Rattus norvegicus: one gene and its partners. The protein of the gene in region 4 purifies or fractionates together with the protein of the main gene of each other region. This does not show direct contact. Links are inferred from orthologs where the notes say so. Each region holds a gene or a part of one and is shown on either strand. Other genes may lie near its edges.

Evidence for each region.
Region 1: the proteins of Mapk1 (region 4) and Hmmr purify together in Homo sapiens (affinity purification with mass spectrometry; 4 studies listed by BioGRID and IntAct, with this or other methods). This does not show direct contact. The link is inferred for Rattus norvegicus from reciprocal best matches to the Homo sapiens genes MAPK1 and HMMR.
Region 2: the proteins of Mapk1 (region 4) and Dusp4 purify together in Homo sapiens (affinity purification with mass spectrometry; 6 studies listed by BioGRID and IntAct, with this or other methods). This does not show direct contact. The link is inferred for Rattus norvegicus from reciprocal best matches to the Homo sapiens genes MAPK1 and DUSP4.
Region 3: the proteins of Mapk1 (region 4) and Dusp9 purify together in Homo sapiens (affinity purification with mass spectrometry; 5 studies listed by BioGRID and IntAct, with this or other methods). This does not show direct contact. The link is inferred for Rattus norvegicus from reciprocal best matches to the Homo sapiens genes MAPK1 and DUSP9.
Region 5: the proteins of Mapk1 (region 4) and Erf purify together in Homo sapiens (co-immunoprecipitation; 3 studies listed by BioGRID and IntAct, with this or other methods). This does not show direct contact. The link is inferred for Rattus norvegicus from reciprocal best matches to the Homo sapiens genes MAPK1 and ERF.

Annotation. Positions count from the first base shown.
Region 1 is NC_086028.1:25,638,065-25,641,399, forward strand, and holds part of Hmmr (hyaluronan-mediated motility receptor), read right to left. Parts: intron 3,181-3,335; coding exon 3,028-3,180; intron 2,934-3,027; coding exon 2,834-2,933; intron 1,600-2,833; coding exon 1,423-1,599; intron 1-1,422. UniProt on the Homo sapiens protein: Receptor for hyaluronic acid (HA). Involved in cell motility. When hyaluronan binds to HMMR, the phosphorylation of a number of proteins, including PTK2/FAK1 occurs.
Region 2 is NC_086034.1:64,081,547-64,083,715, forward strand, and holds part of Dusp4 (dual specificity protein phosphatase 4), read right to left. Parts: intron 1,913-2,169; coding exon 1,527-1,912; 3' UTR 1-1,526. UniProt on the Homo sapiens protein: Regulates mitogenic signal transduction by dephosphorylating both Thr and Tyr residues on MAP kinases ERK1 and ERK2.
Region 3 is NC_086039.1:156,501,862-156,506,038, forward strand, and holds the start of Dusp9 (dual specificity protein phosphatase 9), read left to right. Parts: upstream 1-1,375; 5' UTR 1,376-1,558; intron 1,559-2,133; 5' UTR 2,134-2,168; coding exon 2,169-2,631; intron 2,632-3,125; coding exon 3,126-3,581; intron 3,582-3,849; coding exon 3,850-4,175; 3' UTR 4,176-4,177. UniProt on the Homo sapiens protein: Inactivates MAP kinases. Has a specificity for the ERK family.
Region 4 is NC_086029.1:97,525,017-97,529,271, reverse strand, and holds the start of Mapk1 (mitogen-activated protein kinase 1), read left to right. Parts: upstream 1-1,446; 5' UTR 1,447-1,660; coding exon 1,661-1,773; intron 1,774-4,255. UniProt on the Homo sapiens protein: Serine/threonine kinase which acts as an essential component of the MAP kinase signal transduction pathway. MAPK1/ERK2 and MAPK3/ERK1 are the 2 MAPKs which play an important role in the MAPK/ERK cascade.
Region 5 is NC_086019.1:89,963,403-89,967,693, forward strand, and holds the start of Erf (ETS domain-containing transcription factor ERF), read right to left. Parts: upstream 2,812-4,291; 5' UTR 2,651-2,811; coding exon 2,629-2,650; intron 1-2,628. UniProt on the Homo sapiens protein: Potent transcriptional repressor that binds to the H1 element of the Ets2 promoter. May regulate other genes involved in cellular proliferation.

The DNA of each region.
Region 1 (3,335 bases), on a different chromosome or scaffold from region 4:
TAGGGAGCTGTGCCAGGCTAACTTCAGGCTCCCTGACTTGGGATTGTTTCCCATTCACAGCCTCCATGGTAGTTTAGTTTTAACAACAGGTTCCATCCCAAGATGGCTTGCAACCCTTGTCCTCTCAGTTGTACAAAGTGGACTGCCTTTCTGCTGACCCGTCCATAGGGGAACTGCGTTCTTATAAAATCTCAAAACTGGACTGGAGATGTGTGAGTGCCAAGGGCTTCTGCTGACGGAGGATGGCCAGGCTCTTTTTACCAGGACCTAAGCAAGTCAGTATCGAAGCTCTTCAAAACTGAAAATTAACACTACTACTGGGTCCAGTTTACAGCTTCTGGTATAAACCAGGAAGAATCAAAATCAACATACTATAAACACCCATATCTCAGGTAATATAACCCATTGTTTTGTATAATGTATGCCAAAAATAAAATATAAACTGACTTTCTAAAAGGAAAGAGAAATTAAATAATCATTCTTTTGAATACTACTTATCTTCATAGTAGTTAGAAAAAGGAATGGCTATTTTGTAAATAGAAATGAACGTGTAAAATTTTATAGTTTCTAACTTCTCAGCCATTATAAAACTAAGTAAAAAACTAAGTAGTTGTGGTAAAAATTAAAAAACGAACATTTTCTATTAGTTCCCATGAGCTGGATCCACCCATTCCAGCTGCTACTTTATCACACGGTCTGCAAGTCGCTCACTCTGGCTGTCTCCCTTTTAGCAGTCCTCTTGTGCGGTCCCCTAGGAGGTAGTTACTATGCATCACACACACACACACACACACACACACACACACACACACACACACACACACACACACACACCCCTCGTTCTGCAGACCCTGTGCATTCTCACTCCACGTAGGCAGATCCGCGTGTTCCAACTGCCTTTTAGCCATTTCTGTCACACACTGTCCTCTTTAGCCTGGTAATCAAAGTTCCAGAAACTTGTAATTTAGCAACTAGATTTACACGTTACATTCTCAATCCACAATATATGTACACAATAAACTTACAACCAATCGATAAGGATATAAGCCATCCACCCAGATAAGATGCAATTTGCCCATCTAGACAACACAAAATCCTGTACACATCCACCCCTTAAGAACAGTCGTAATAACCTGTGAGTGTACAGAGAGGAATCTTAACATCCGCCATGTTCTCTTGGCTGCCAGCCCCCATGCTCAGGTCCCCTCTGCCTCTGTAAATCTTACTTCCCACCCACCCTTCCTTCTTGTCCAACAACAGCCTCGTTCTACCCTGCATCTGCCTTCGCCTGCATAATGATATCAACCTACACTATCTGGTTAACACTAAGTAAGTCCGTTAGCTCTCAGAAGAATTGGCCTCTATAAACTGGTCAGTATCTTTGGTTTTAGCATATCTGAATATGGGTGTTATTTTACAAACCGATTTGAGCTGGCTGTTTTCATCTTTCAATTTCACGACATGTTTGATTTTTTGCTTCAGATTCTGGTGGCCAAGCAGCTGTGCGTAGGAGTCTCTGATTTTACTTAGCTGCTCCTGAGTTGCACCATGTTCATTCAACAGTGCCTGCTTCTCTGCTTCGAAGGCATCCAGTTGTTGCTGGAAAAGATGAATTAGCATATATCAGTACTGAAACCAAGACTAGCTTGCTGAACTTGTGCACCCTCTGCTCCTGCCTCACAGCAGCATAAGCATTTGTGGTCATGCTTGGACTAAACTTTTTCAACATCTGCTTCCATTCCAATTAGACCTTCCTTTTGTTTGTAGGCTTGTTTGCGTGTTTCTAGATTTAAAAAAAAAAAAAGAGTCTCACTACAGTCCTGGCTGTCCAAGAACTTAGAACCAGGCTGTTGTTAAACTCAAGTAACACCACTTGCGTCTGCCTCCTGAGTGCTGGGACTAAAGGTGTGTGCTACCACCACACCTGGCTCCTTTCTCTTTAAAGAGCTTAGGGGATTGTCATGTGTGATGATCTGTGGCCATAAATTCAGCATTCAGGAGGCAGAAGCAAGAGGTCAGGAATTCAAGCACAAATTCAGCTCCAGAGAACATTCCAGCCTAGAATCTCAAGGGGAAAGCTAGTCAGGCACAGAGGCTGATGTTCCTAATGCTAGCACTTGGGGAGTAGAAGAAGGAACACTTCAGATCCCAGGCTTGGCACAGTGAGCACCAGGCAGCTTGGATTCTATAGCAATACCTTGTCTTTAAACCAAAGGATAACATACAACGCAAATATCACTACAGTGACTGGAGAAATGCTGGGATGGATCATACCGAAATACACATCACAAAATAACAGGTAAATGATTGATGTTCCTACCAGGAGAGTTTTCAGGATCACTAATTTCAAATTGTTGATTAGAAAGCATTTTTTATATTATACCATCACATTAAAATTTAGTGTCAGGTAAATTTGTCAGTTGGCTGGGAAAATGATAAATAGTAATACAAAATGCCCGTTTTTTATGGCTTTACTTTTTGTGTATCTCTGGGAACTGTACGTGCCAAGCACACTTACTCAGTGGTAGCTGAGCTCAAGACTCATGGAAGAAATACATTCTGAAAACAGATCACAATAAGTTTATTTATCTATTTTTATTTTATTTAACTTTTTTTTTAGGCGTATGGGTGTTTTGTCTACACTTATGTCTGGGCAACATGGCGCCCAGAAAGCCTGAAAAGTTGTTGGATGGCCTGAAACTGGAGTTATAGCCAGTCTGGAACCACCATGTGGTTACAGGGAATTGAGCCCAGGAACTGAACCTCTGGAAGAGGAGGCAATATCTTAACTTCAGATCCAGCCCACAAGTAAGTTTAATAACAAGCCACAAACCTGAAAAGGTTTAGTTTTGTCATACAGTTCTTCATATAGGAGACGCCATTTATTAATTTCCATGGTTAATTCTGTCACTGCAGTTTCTTTCTCTGTCATTCTGTATGGGAAAATTAAATTTAAAATTGAATTATCTTTTTCAATTTACTAGGAAAAACCATGTTCCATAGCATTTAAGGTCCAGCCTGACTTACTTTGCCCCTTCCTCTTCCAGCTGCTTCCTAAAGTCTTCATTTTGTTGTCTGAGTTGATTTTGCAAATCAGTTATTTTCTCAAGATATGAAGATGTGATTTCTTTAATTTCTGCTTCTTTCAATGTTGAGCTGTTCTGCAAATCTTGAACCACCCTTAGATTTGAGAAAGAAGAATCTACTAAACATCTGATAGTGGTTTCTATTTTCACCCTCTTCTTTTTGGAAAAAGAAAACAAAGAGCAAACAGACAGTTCTCGAAGCTTGGGACTCTAACTGGGTGTGGTAGGACTCTGTCTTTAAATGCAGCA
Region 2 (2,169 bases), on a different chromosome or scaffold from region 4:
CCATGAGCCCGGGCTGTCTGGGACTCTGGATGAGAAAGCATTCCATCATGATGTAACGTGGACACTTGTAGTTTTATATTTATGCTCAAAGTGGGGGAGGGGGGCGGGACCGTGCTCATTTCTGCCAGGTCTGCAGTGACCTCTATCTAATCTGACATGCCGTCACAAAACTGTCCCCCAAAACTACAGACGAAACAGGTTCCCTCCCCACCCTGCACCTTCCCCCTAGAAAACACACTCCAATGCCTTTCCTCCACTTGGAAAGGCTCTTTTAAAATGGTGTTGGCCCAGTCAGAACCCAACATGGCTTCTGAGTCACTATCAGTAAGATAGGAGCTAGCACGCAGCCCCCCAACTCTGCTCTCTCCCTTCCAGACCGTAAGGAGCCCCAAGTCAGACATACACTTATCTTTTTACTCAAAAGAGGGAGGACTTTTCAAAGTATTCACTTGACAGGGATTTCGTAACAAGAATTTCTTGGTATGTATACTTCAAGTAAACTCCTAGAACTGAAACGCCCAATTTATCCGAGGGAGGGAGGAGATCAACGCCAAGAGGAGATTCATTTTTAGTTCATCTTCAGTGATCTGGTTCTGAGCTGGCCTTACCAAAATGATTCACGGTAGGAAAATCTGAATTGCACCCAGTTTTCCAGGAGCACCTTAGAAAAGATGGCATTTCCCCAGACGATATCCAGATCCTAGGCCAAATGCTCTACCCGCAGTCAAACTAGAGAGAAAAGCTTGCCCGGCTGGGTCAGTGGGCCCAGGAGCCAGCTGCAAAAAGTGACCAACCTTGTTCCTTGCAAGTCACCCTGCCTGCTTCTCAGTGGCAACGATGAAAGACGGTGACCCCAGCGACCACCTACCTGCCACACTCCCCTCACCGCCAGCACAGCTTTGTGTCTCTGTGTGTGACCTCAACAGAAACATATCCCAAAGCCACCAGACTCCTGCACACACACGCACACACACACATGCTCAGGTTCTCAATACTCATTAAACATCAATTATCCAGTTGACGGCTAACCAGAATACTGTGGCCTAGAAGGATCTAGAACAAAACTGCTGTGGGTCCAACAACAGAAGAATATGCACACAGAACCAGGCACTTTTCTGGCAAACTCAACTTTCTCCTCCTTCCCTCTCCACTCAATAAAACTGGTTGGGCACATTTGCCAGGATCTGTGGGCTTCATAACTTTCAAGCTTGATTGCTTTAAAAAATAATAATAATAATAATGAGGTAAATTTCTACCTGCAAAGGAAAAACGGACACAAAATCCAAGTCTTCTCTGGCAGCGGAAGCTGCTCTTATTGCTCTAGGCTGTGGGTGTTTAGCTGTGTTTGTTTTAAATGTGTATTCAAAGTCATAGTTATTGCCATCCTAGCTGGCCCTGTGGTCGGCCAAGGAGAAATGGATGGGGACGGTCACCTGGTCCCCCACTGGTCAGTCCCTATTCGCTCCTCACATGTGGCTTGCACACTGGCTGGGGCCGACTCTGGACTCGGTGTCCCGTGACTAGTCCTAACAGCTGGGGGAGGTGGTGATGGGGCTGTGCAGGTACGGCAGGTTACTGGGAGCCGCGTGCACACCCACGGACACGGGGAAGCTGAAGACGAACTGCGAGGTGGGGGTGGGAGTGGCCTTCCCCCTCTCCCGCAGGGGCCCGGAAGGGCTGGCGGCCTCCGCTGCGCAGGACGTGGTGAGCACCTGAGACTCGAACTGCAGCAACTGGCCCATGAAGCTGAAGTTGGGCGAGATGATGCTACGGCGCTGCTTGACGAACTCGAAAGCCTCCTCCAGCCTCACCCGTTTCTTCATCATCAGGTAGGCCAGGCAGATGGTGGCTGATCTAGAGATGCCGGCCTGGCAGTGAACCAGCACTCGCCCTCGGCAGTCCTTCACTGCGTCTGGGGCAGAAAGTGCGACATGATTAGGGACCTCGGCGGATTTCAGGAACCACCACGAGCAGGTGAGGGAGACGCACAGTGGGATGAGGGGCGCTACTGTGGGAAGGTCCCCTACGCTACACTGAGGACTACAACCCCACTCATCCCAGTGTGTGTGTGTGTTTTTTTTTTTCTTTTCTATTTTTCGGAGCTGGGGACCGAACCCAGGGCCTTGCGCTTGCTAGGGAAGCGCTCTACCACTGAGCTAAATCCCCAAC
Region 3 (4,177 bases), on a different chromosome or scaffold from region 4:
TGTCCTGTTCTTGATGCATATTGCTACACTATTTCCAAAATGGTGCTACCAAAACAAAATCCCTCCTAGGATAAGAACACCACATGTGTTTCACAGCAACCTTGCCAACTCTTGGCGGTCTCATTTTGAGAACATTCTACTAATGTCGTGACTGGGAAGTATTTCCTTATTTTTTTTTTTTTGAATTGGCTTTCCTTCCCTGCCTGAGCTTCAACCTTTCCCCAAATATTCTTACCCCATCACATTCCTTCCTTCGGGCAGAGTATGCAGTCCTTGAGTTCCTTACCCATTTATCTACGGGGTCTTAACCCTTTGATTATTTTGTGCGAGCTTTATCTTATCTGTTGTGTGTTTTCCTTTAACGCTGTTATTTGCTTTTCTTGGGCTTTTAGCAGAGAAAGGACACATGGCCAAATGGGGCTTTTTTAGAAGCCTCCCCTGCCTCTCCTTTCATTGTCAGCACTTATCACCCCGATATCTGGTCCAGTGCCTTTGCTTATTGTTGGTGTGTCCTGCTGGACTGGAAGACCCAGGCAAGGAGAGCCCTTGTGTGTCTTTCCTGTTCATTACCTGTCTGATGGGCTGGTTGGAGGCCACTAGCCTTTGTGGACTGAATAGTGCTCTGGAATGGGGCAGGGTGGAGACAAGCTGAAGTTTCAGAAACTGGGACACTGACATGTATAGTCATGACCACTGCAAAAGCCAGAAGGAGCATGGGGATAGGGACATATTGCAGTAAAACTACTTCCCTCCACGTGGATCCATCCAGGGGGTTATGGGAAAGATGTTATGGGGAGGCGCCCGCCTTCACCTGATAAGAGCACAGTGTCTCAGTTTAAAGTCGAGTGCTCAGAATTCCTGCGTACCTTTAGCTAGACCTGTACAAATGAAGCCCAGATGGAAATAGCGCACCCGGGAACTGCCTTGTCACTTCAGTTTTTTAGTGGCATCTCACAGTAGAACACTTTAGAAGGCTCCGATTAGCCCATTATACAGATGGGGGCCATCTAGTTCCAGATCAGGATTGTTGAGTTGTTCGAGACAGTTTCTGGTTCTGGGGCTCTGGGCTTTTGTCCCCACCCCTCTTCCTGCTTCCAGGGACCAGACTGGCGCCAAGCAGGGGCAACTGCAACATGTCCCCTGCTGGGCCCCCGACCTGCCCTTGGCCTCTGCCCCGACCCTGTCCCGCCTGGGTGGAAGCCCTAGCTCAGCTTGAGGTTTGCAACTCCCACCAGGCTATTCGTTAGCACTGGTTGGCTCGCCTGCCCCCTGAGACCGCCCCACCGCCCCGCCCCGTCCCGCCCCTTTGAGCTGCTACTTAGTCCGTCCGAAGGCAGAGCCTTCCAAGGTGGAATCTGGATCCGGCAGCCAGGAAGCGGCCAGCGCACGAGTGGCGCGAGGCTTGGCTTCCACGTGCGAGCCTGCTCCACCACCCCGCCCTCTCTGAGCGCCGGAGCCTGGGGACTCCGTCTCCATGAACGATACCTGCGCCCTGCCTTGGCACTAGCTGTGGTGAGGACGTCCGCGTTTGGCCGCCTGCCTCTGGATCTCGCTCCAGGTCTCTCCTTTTGTTCTCTCCTGGGGTGGGTAGGAGTGGGGCCGAGTCAGCTCTTACGGGACGGGACTCGCCGAGGCCCATCACCTCGGTGACCCTCTTGTTCTCTGGGTCTTCCCGGCTAGAGAGGAGAGCCGGGCCTTGAACCCAACTTCTCCACCCATCCAAAATCGAACTTGGGGAGTGATGGAGATCAGAGTAAATGAGAAAGTCAGAAAAGGGGTGTGGAGGGAACTGGTTTTAGTCCTCCTAGCACCTCAGAAAATGCCTTCATTCAAGAGGCCGCTAGACGCCTAGCTATCTTCTGGGGTATATCTCTTGAAACTCCATGTGTTAAGCGGGGCAGGGAACAGCGCCCAAGTGGCGGCAGCCTCGGGTCTTTTTCCCGGGGCGCCTTCCTTGGTGTTCTCACTGTGGGTGGAGCGCGAGGAGAGAAGCAGGCGGTAGAGGAATGTCCCTGCGGGGACACTGAGCGCCTTCCCTCAGGACAGGGGTTGACTTCCCGCCTCAGTAGCCTGGTCCACGCTGCGGGAGTAGAGAAAACTTGCCCTCACCCCGCGCCTTGACTCTCTCCACAGCGCCCGCTGCCCGACGTGCAGGACGCTGCGCGACCATGGAGAGTCTGAGTCGGTCATGCCTGTGGCTGCGTCAGGAGCTGTCGTCCCCGCGCCCACAGCTTCTGATACTGGACTGCCGCAGCCGGGAGCTGTATGAGTCGGCGCGCATCTGCGGGGCGCTGAGCGTGGCCCTGCCCTCGCTGATGCTGCGCCGCCTGCGGAGAGGGAGCATGTTGGTGCGGTCGCTCTTGCCTGGGCCACCGGTGCAGCCTCCGCCACCGGCCCCTGTGATCCTCTATGACCAGGGTAGTGGCCAGTGTCAGCCCGAAGCAACGGAGGCTGAAGCTAAGGCCGAAGCGGAGGCCAAAGCCGAGGCCGAAGCGGAGGCCAAAGCCGAGGCCGAAGCGGAGGCCAAAGCCGAGGCTAAAGAGGAAGCTGAAGAGTGGGATGCTGACTCGGTGCTGGGCATCCTGCTCCAGAAGCTGCGGGAAGAAGGCTACCCAGCATACTACCTACAGGGTAAGTGAGGGTCAGTGGTCTGAGAGAGAGCGCTCTGGAGAGGCCTCAGGTCGGGAGAAAAGGTCCTTCTTTCCAAGGGGAGTTCATAATTAATTTAACCTTCGGCAAACTCAGTCTTATTTTGTCTAAAATATAGGGTAAGGGCCTCCCTCCAATAAGCTGCTGGAGAGCTTTTGGAGGTGGGGAGATGAGCATGACCTTGGGCAAGTCCTTCATCCCTCCAAGCCCATTTATAAATCTGGAAAATGGGGAGAATTGATCTGAAACAACCTGGGTCACAGGCTATTGCCCCGGGACTAAGGGCTGCATTGGGCACTTGCCATGCTGAGCGAGGGTGGATGGGTGTCCATAGCATAGCACGTGTAAGGAATCTGCTGGCTTATGTGTTCCCCTTAGCAATATCTGCAACCCCCAATCCGGGGAGCTGTATAGGCCAGGGATACCTGGCTGCCAGGAAGGCATGTTAGTAAGACCTCACCCTTTTTTCCTGACAGGCGGCTTCAGCAAATTCCAGGCCGAGTGTCCTCACCTGTGTGAAACCAGCTTCAGTGGTCGCGCTGGCTCAGGCCTGGGCTCAATGTCTAGCCCAGTGCCTGTGGTAGGGCTTGGTGGCCTGTGCTTGAGCACTGATTTCTCTGATGCAGAGTCCGAGGCTGACCGAGACACCTTGAGCTGTGGCCTAGATTCTGAGAGCACCACATCCCCTCCAGCTGGGCTGCTACCACCCTTCCCAGCCCAGATCCTGCCCAATCTCTACCTAGGCAGTGCTCGCGATTCAGCCAATTTGGAAAGCCTTGCCAAGCTTGGCATCCGCTATATCCTCAATGTCACCCCTAACCTTCCTAACCTCTTTGAGAAGAATGGTGACTTCCACTACAAGCAGATCCCCATCTCTGATCATTGGAGCCAGAATCTGTCTCAGTTCTTTCCGGAGGCCATTGCATTCATAGGTGAGTCCTCCCTACCCCTCCCCCAGCCCACTCTATCCACCCACCAGACTGATTCCTGGCCACCTCCTCCTTACTCTCTGCATTCCCAGAGCACATGTGACACTTGGGGAGGTGGGGGTAGAGCTCAGGTTAGCTACCAGTGAGACCTCCCAGATATGCTCTAAGCAGGGTGGGGAGACAACGATGATGACCCCAGAAATTCACTTAGCTTTGGCCTCACTCATGGTGACCCTTAGGGGGTGTTTCTGTTCTTTCCTGTTCTACCTAGATGAGGCCTTGTCACAGAACTGTGGGGTGCTCGTCCACTGTCTGGCAGGGGTCAGCCGCTCTGTCACTGTCACCGTGGCCTACCTCATGCAGAAGCTTAACCTCTCACTCAACGATGCCTACGACTTGGTCAAGCGGAAGAAGTCTAACATCTCACCTAACTTCAACTTTATGGGGCAACTGCTAGACTTTGAACGCAGCCTGCGCCTGGGGGAGAAGCGCTCTGGTGGGAGGGGCAGTGGGGGGCCAGAGTCCACTGTCTCAGACCCACCTTCCTTTTTTACTACCCCCACCAGTGATGGGGTTTTTGAGCTGGATCCCACATAAAG
Region 4 (4,255 bases):
ACTTCTTAAACTCCGTTGAGTTTTTTGATTGTTTTTTTTTGTTTTGTTTTTGTTTTTGTTTGTTTGTTTTTTGCTTTTTTTGTTTTTTGGTTTTTTTTTTTTTTTTTTTGAGACTCTTGGCTATCCTGGAACTCATTCTGTAGACCAGGCTGGCCTCCCATTCTTAAGAGATCTGCCCCACTCTGCCTCACAAGTGGTACATGTGAGGCACCACACTGACTTGCTCCTTTCAGTTTTTTACCTTATTGTTTAAGGAGTTACCCCTCCGGATAGAATGTTTCAATCCTTCAGGAAAGTGTTACACAGCACCTGAATCCAAGTCCCGGAATTTCACTGTCTTTCTCCAGCGTCCCCACCCACAGCTCTTTATATTTTCCCTTGGCTTTTTATTTCTTCACAACACTTAAGTGCAAATATTGTATTTTGCCTGTCTTTTCACTCTGGAAACATGGCTGGCTCCAATGCTATAGGTATTAAGCAAATTTTCTTGAAGAAACCTCTAATTAGGGGATTCAATGTCTTGTGTTTTGGTTTCTACTTATTTATGTCTCACACTGTTAGGTGTGCGTCACCAGTAAGAAGGTAGATATACGTAGTTAGTATAAGAAAAGTTATATTTTATTATGCTGAAGGTCATCATGCAAGGTTTACACTCTAAACTCCTTACATTCCTAAGCCTGTCTTCCCAAGGCTGTTCACCTGTGTGACCTATCTTAGCTTCAGGTCAGGTCTAATCTCTAACAGAAGTCTCTGATTTGAGGGTCAGGATTCTGAGGGAGATTCTCTAGCCACAGAACAGATCAAGGTGCATCTCTCCAGATACGTAGAGCAAAGCATTGCTTTTGGTCTCTGCTTATATTTTGTCCAGTAGGCATCATGGGATTCTAGGACTATGTCATCTCCATGTCACTGGGCTCTGGGTATCAGGAGCAGCCTTAGGTACTGTAGGGTTCCTGACTAATCTGTTTTTATATGTCCAAAAGGCATCTTTTTTATTTATTATTCTCATTACAGGGTGAAAATATTTTTCTGGGTCTGGGTCATCTTTTTGGTTTCTGTCCCACTCTGACGGTCTAAGTGCATAAGAGTGCAGAATGTGGGCCACGTATTCCTAGAGGCCTGTCTGTCTCAGGGGTCCCGTGGCTGGTGTGCAGTGAGTCCTCTGGTCTCAAGTCCCTGGTCCCGCGCGAGTTCGTTCTGGACCAGGTACAGTGGTGGGACTCTGTGGGGTCATTATGCCTAAGTTCCAATCTAGCTTTCTAGAGCTACCCAGCCCTTAGCTTTCTGAACGCACGTGACGTCCCTCCCCCGCAGCCGCAGTGCTCCTGGCTTACTTCGCTGCTTCCGCCGGCCCGCGAGACTCCGCCCTCTCTGAGGGGAGAAGCCAATCATCACGCACGCCCTTGACTCCGCCCTAGCGCCCCTCGACGCGAGTCCTTCCCTCCTCCCACTCGCTGCCCGCCCGCCCGTCAGGCAGGAAGGCAGGCAGTGGTTCTACCGGCGGTTAGTTCTCTCTTCTGTGTTGTCCTCCCTCCTCGTTCCCGATCGCCGCCAGCGGCTGCTACACGGGCGGCGGCGCGGTTCCTGTGGGAAGCGCAGCACAAGTCGAGCGGTAACCGCGAAGCGTCGAGCCCAACGCGGCGGAGGCTGTGCAGCCAACATGGCGGCGGCGGCGGCGGCGGGCCCGGAGATGGTCCGCGGGCAGGTGTTCGACGTGGGGCCGCGCTACACTAATCTCTCGTACATCGGAGAAGGCGCCTACGGCATGGTTTGGTAAGTGTCTGCGCTGGTTTGCAGGCCCGGCCTCACGCGGTCATCCTGTGCCCCCTGCCTATGGCTGATCTGGACGCAGCTGCGGCCTTTCCCGCGCCTTGGCCTCGCGGTCCGCGGCGCCCCCGGACCCGTGGCTTCTCCTTGGCCCGCACTCCTGGGGCCCTGGGGCGGGGTCCCGGGGGCCCTTTCGAGGTTTAAGTGTTGCTCTGCTGCTTCCTGAGCTGACCCTTCGTTTGCTGTTGGAAGGGCATCTCAGACCGAGGCCAGGACTCGAAGACTCCCGGGCTTGGTCTCGAGCGCGTACTTTCGAGGCTTCTCCCTTGGGTCGGGAACGGAAGTGCACCATGTCCCCTAGTTCATAGCGTTATAGCCGCCGCCTTTTGACATTAGATTAAAACTAGGAATTCCATTAGATGCATGTCCGTGGTGGTGGCGGCGGCAATGGTTTTGCAAGACGGAATAATGGGCTTGTGTGCTGAGCACCAAAATATTTTTATTCTCTCTGTGTACGTGAACAGCATTCACAAAATATCTTCAGTAGAGCTAATGATGCGTTCTACCTCAGGCTTTCTAAAAAACAATGACACAGCGTTGGTTGTGGATATACTGAAATCTTGAAGTTTCAAAATGGATTTAAATATCATACCGATTGTGTTTCAGGAAGGATAAACCAGCATCACTCTTAGAATTATTAAGATGTATTTGGAGTTAGGCCTAACTCCAAATTTGACTTTAAATTACCCCGTCGTTACCCTCAAAAGTACATGTGAATGTATCCATAGGTATTAGCCCTATTTACTGTGGTCGTTTCCCTAACGTTTTAGTGTTCACTATATATACACAACCACTTACAGTACTTTCTGCTTGTGGAATGAAGTGTATTGTTTTAATTAAAGCAAGTTCATTTATCGAAGGTTTCTGAGGTAGTTAATTTTACTTGGATAGCCATCTTGAAGAAAGAGAAGACACCCTTTTTCAGATAAGGTATTGAAAGGAAGTCTTTTTCCCAAGGGTGAAGAACTAGAATCATGCTTTCTATATATAGAAAGATCCTGGTTTAAATGCTTCAGCTCCTCAGCTATGATTGCACACGCCTTTCCTTGATTTATTAATAATTTCAGAACTTCAGCATATTTTCCTGATGAACAAGTCTATTTCAGAAATGCATTCAAATTTGAATGGTCATAATTTTAGAAATGCCAAGAAAGATGTGTTTTCACCAAGTGTGTTAACTAGGTAGAATAATTAACTTTCCTTTTTAAAGGACCGGAGAATAGTTATATTCTTATGAGCAAAATGTTTCATAGTATACAATTATGAAGGTAAAAGTGAACTGGACCTGCGAGTCAAAGGGGAAATTAAATTTAGGTCACGGTTACAAGAAAGTCTTTGTAAAGGAATGGGGAAAAATTACTTTCCACATCACATCTGTCTTGCATGTATTACTGCCCTTGCACTTGCTGGTAAGTATGCCAGTAACTCTTATTATTGACACTCAAATGATTACCCACCATAGTCTCATTTATTTAAAAAAAAAAAAAGAATAAAAAAGCTTACTTTAAATAGAGACAAAAAAATTTAGGACCACCTTAATAAGATGGATTGTTTAGATCCTGTTGCTATTGACCTTTGAAGTTTCCGCTTGCTGTGCAGAATTCTTTTTAAAATTCACATTTTAGGGGTGGAGAGATGACTCAGCAGTTAAGAGCACTGGCTGCTCTGGGTTCGATTCCAATGACAGCCTAGTCTGTAATTATAGTTCCAGAAGATGAGATGTTCTCTTAAGTCATGCATTTAAGCAAGACATTCATATGCATAAAATAAATAAAACTAATTAATTTTTTAAGACAAGGTTTCTCTGTGTAATCACCCTGGCTATCCTGGAACTCAATTTGTAGATGAGGCTGGCACCTACAAATTTTAATTTTAAGAAAAATACAAATATAATTGAAATTTAAATCCAAGCATCAGCCTCTTATCTCCAGATAATGTATCTTAGTATTTATTTAATATTCTTAATTGTGTGTCATTATCATCTGATTATTGCTGAGTTTATGGCAGCTTCTCAGCTTAAGTATCCACTTGAATAGTGATCTTTAAAAGCTGGAAAGACGGGGTTGGGGATTTAGCTCAGTGGCCCTGGGTTCGGTCCCCAGCTCCGAAAAAAAGAAAAAAAAAAAAAAGCTGGAAAGACGGCATAGTGGTTGAGTACCTGCTGCTTTTGCAGGACCTAAGCTCAGATCCCTGCATCTGTGTTACGTGACACTACCACCCACCACCTACTGCACCCCTCCTTCCAAGGGCATCTACACACATGTGGTCCAACGAAGACTCACTAGGGTACACACCCTGGAAACTGATTTAAGAATAACTCTTTAAAAAAATTACTTGGGGGTTGGGGATTTAGCTCAGTGGTAGAGCGCTTGCCTAGGAAGCACAAGGCCCTGGGTTCGGTCCCCAGCTCCGAAAAAAAGACCAAAAA
Region 5 (4,291 bases), on a different chromosome or scaffold from region 4:
TCTATCTCAGTTCCAATCTGGCTCCCTGTCCCAAGAGGGGGGCTGAAGCCCCTAACACATCAATGTGGAGGTGGAGGGGTGTACTGACTTCCACCCTCCCCCCAAAACTAAAGCCACCCTTCCCAGCCCACCAGCCCCAGCCTCCGTGTCCCGGTAACCAGGCAACGTGTGTGCAGCGACAGTCCTGGGAGCGGGGGAGCAGGAGGCTAAAAATAAACTTTGCAGAAGAGAGGGAGTGAGAGAGAGAGACTACATGCAACACAAAGGGAACTCGGAAAGGAGGTGGGGGGGCTCTGGAAAGGCCTCAAGCCCGCATTCTGGGAGCTGTCCCAGGCCCCCTTGCTAACCTTCTTCCCTGAGAAACACCACCCCCAGGGCCTGGACCCTGGTTGCTACTTCTGGCAGAGACCCCTCCTCATGCCAGGCCCACCCAGCACCACCCCAGTACCGGCTTTCCTCATCGGACACAGCATACACGAGGGCCTGTTCCCAGCTTTGGGGAGGGGACGGAGTGGGGGTGACGTCAGGGTGTCTCAATGGGGCTCTGTTCCCCAGGCCTTGGAGCCAGGAGCCAGGCACGGGCAAGGAGACCATGTGTGTGTTGTATACGGGTCCACGTGCTTAAATCACGGAAACACCAGCTCTGCAGCAAGAAAGCTTGAGGGTGCAAGACCTCTCCAGCATGGGGGGTCCAGAGAGGCTGGAAGAAAGCAGCTACACTGAAAGAGGGCTCCAGAAACGCAGACAGGGTGTAGAGGTGGCTGCAGACAGGAAGGGCTATGATGGCTGGGTCCCAGAAGGCACACCTGGATATCCCAGACTGTGCAAGCCTGGGTCGGGGCATAAGTTCTGGGAAACAATCCCCAACTCAACATGACTGCCTAAACTTTTTTATGGGAATATAGGGGTCAGATAGGAGGGGTGGTGGTTGAGGAAAAATACGTCTGCCTCCCGGGGGGCCTCAACACCTCCCCCACTCCAGGCAGACCTCGATGGCGCCAGAGCCGGGAAGAAAACAGGAAGTGGGAAACAGCCACGGCGGAGCAGAGAAACGCCGGGATGGAGGATCGGATGGAAGGGCGAGCAGTGGCCGGCAGTCAGGAGAAACAAACCGACCTCGAGGCCGTTCTGGTCCCCCGCCTTCCCATGAGAATCTACACATGACCGGGACCCCAGACAGGGTTGCAGTGGCCTTACAGGTCCCGTCAGGCCAAGGCCCGTAACATAGAGGGAAGACAAGGCGGGGTTGTCTGAGCGCCTTGGTCCCCTCCCCGGGTGAGGCGAGGCTCCTGCTGCCCCCAGGGCCCCGCAGCCCCGGAGCCTGTGAGAGTCCGGGAGTGGGGGACTAAGTGGGACGCACGTGACTGACCCTACGGCACTGCGCACCCCTACCCCACCCCCGACCCCCTCCTCAGCCCCAATCCTCTGGCGCCTGAGTCCTGCTCCGAGCCCTTTAAGAGCCGCCCCCACCCGCCGAGCAGGGAGGTGGGGTGGGTGGGCCGGTCGGGGCACACACCCGCACATAGGAGCCGGAGCCGCGGCCGCCGCCGGGGGAAGGAAACAAGTTTGAACAGCGGCGCCCGGCCCCCTTCCCCCTCCCTCGTCCCCGCCCCGGGCCGGATTCCGACGGGGCAGACGGGCAGGGGGCGGCGAGGCCCCCTCCCCCCCGCGCGCCCGGGCGCAAAGTCCAGCCTGTGCAAGCCCGGGGGCGGCGGGGGAGGGGAAGGGGGAAAGTCCGAGTGGGAGGGGGGGGTTAATCCTGCTGCCCCCCGCCCAGCGATCGGGGGGGGAGGGGAACCCTGGCCCCTTAAGGAGGAGCAACTTGGCGGGGAAGAGAGGGGCGGAGGGAAAAGACGGCCCGCTGAAAGAGGCGCAGAATCGGTGAGGGGGGGAAGGACGAAGAGAGAGCCTCTGCATCCCCCCCCCATCTTTCCCACCCTCCTCAACTCCCAAGCCTCCGCCCGCGTCGGAGGAGAGTACCCAAGTCTCCCCTGAGCCACCTTAAAGCCGCGCGTTCTAAGGTCGGAAACAAAAAGTTCCTTTTTCGAACGTTCGGGCTGCGCTTTGGAACTTTGCGACTCAGTCCGGGCGGGGGAGCGAGGAGACGGACGGGGGAGGGGCGGTGCAGCCCGGACCCCGAGTCCCGTGTTCCCCACTCACGCCCAGCTCCAGGCCATCCCGTATCCCGCTCACCGGGTGCTGGGCACGCGCCGCCGTGAAGGTCACGGGCCGGACCGCGCAACGCAGAACCGAGCATAGCGGGTCCCTATGCAGAACCCCCACCTCGCCCCGCACACGTCCCGGCCCCCGGAGTGCAACGTGACAGAACGACAGGGAGGGGACTCTGCCACCCCAGTGATCCCGGGAGAACCCAGGTTGCCCGGTCCGGGCAGGGAAAGAACAGCACCCGCAGCACCCACACCATTCCGAAAAGACCCACGGAATTGGGGCTTCCAGGCAGCACCCCAGCTCGCGCCGCGAGAAGCAACAGGTCTCGAGTGCTTGGGGGTCCCCAAGAACTGGGTATCAATCGGGCTCCCCAGAACCCCTTCAGCCCCCACCCAAAGTTTTTCCTCCCGGTTTCCCGGGGCAACAAGTCTCCCCCACACGTGCTGCCCCCGCCCCCACCTGTGTCCGCTGGGGTCTTCATGCTGGGGGGCCCGGGGCAAGGCGCCCCGACTCCGGGCCGCTGCTCCAGGCGCCCGCGTTGCCCCGTCCCGTCCCGCGCCCGTTGGGACGCCCTCGCCGCCGCACCCGGCCTCGCCTCTCAGAGCCTCTCCCCTCCCCGCCGCCGCCTCCCGGGTTAATATCGCACTCCGGGGCCGGGACGCCCACGCCCCCCGGCCGGCGACGTCACCACCGCGTCGCCATGGAGACACTGTGCCCGCCCCCTCCCGCGCACTCACACACGCTTGCCGGCGCGCAGCCACTGAGGACCGGTCGGCTCTAGGCTTAAAGGGCCCGCGCGGCGGGGGGGTTGGGGGGGCGGAAGGGGAGAAGAGGGCAGAGAGGGGCTGGGGGGTGGTCCTGGGGGTCACGACCCTTCTTGGAGTCTCTAAGTCAGAAGAACTTAAGTCTTCAGCGCTCAGTACCTGCTGCCTCTCTTCTGCCCTTTCCTGGCTCCAGAGTTTCTTTTGGGACCTTTTGGAGGAAAGGAATTTTATGAAGGGGGACGATTAGAAATTTTTGTGGGGAAGGGGCAGAATCTTCTCTGCAGGGGGGCGGAGTCTGGTTCTTGGAGGATGATCAAGAGCAGAGCCATTTCCCAGCCTGAGTTTACCCAACCCCCCTCAACCCCGAGCCTGAAAGAGGGCAGCTGTCCAGGGGTGGGGTGGAATGGGTGGGAAACATTTCCCAGCATCGGAAATGGGGAGGCGGTTGTACCCTCGACTCCTGTGGAGATGGGGTCTTGGCCTTCCTGATAGACCCAGTCCAGCTGCGGAGGAAGTGACCAGAGAATGCATTCGGGAGCCCCCACAATCACCACGGTCCCTAGGCTGCAGCTGTCCTGGGAGCCCGGCCGGAGGTACCCCACCTCCACACTGGAGCAGGGGGTTCCGGAGATAGTGCCAGGATGCTGGGGGCGACCCAAGTCTGAACAAATGTGCTCCGGAGGAGCATTGGGGGTCGCCAGGAGAGAGGAAGACAGGGCTTAAGACCAAAGGCCTGAGCGTAGGGGAAGTGTTAAGTCTGCGTTCGCTGCAGCAGATGGGAAGAATGGATGGAGCCTGAGGCTCGGGAAACAGGAAATCGGGGTACCGATCGGATGCAGGTAGGCAGCCTGCTGCTGCTGGGTAGAGGGGAAACAGAAGCTATACTCTCATAAGCTAAGCCTGAACATTCTCAGGGAAATAATGAAAAATAAACCGGAGTGGCCAAAGGAAGAGATATGGGGCTAGGAGACTGAAAGGATGATGAATCAGAGACGCAGCAGGCAAGAGGGAAGGCCTATCTGGTTCAGGCTATAGGTGCTTAAGGCTTCAAACCCAAACTTCTCCATTGCCGGTTTCCTATTCAGCCTTTAAACCAGCTCACGGGTGCCGCAGAGAAGTCTCTTGCCTCCTCCTTAGGGAGACCATGGCCTCCAGGGAAGTGTCACCCCTTTGGGGAATTATGTAACCTTGCCTACGGACAGTGCAGCTCCCCACGGATATTGTAACCCTCTGGGAGCAGCGTGGTCCAGCAATAATCATCATTGTTACAATAACAGCTCTCAATCCTGAGTGCTCACGATGTGCCAGGCTGTGAGCCAAGCATTGTCCGTAACATCTTCATACTCATAAAATCCCAA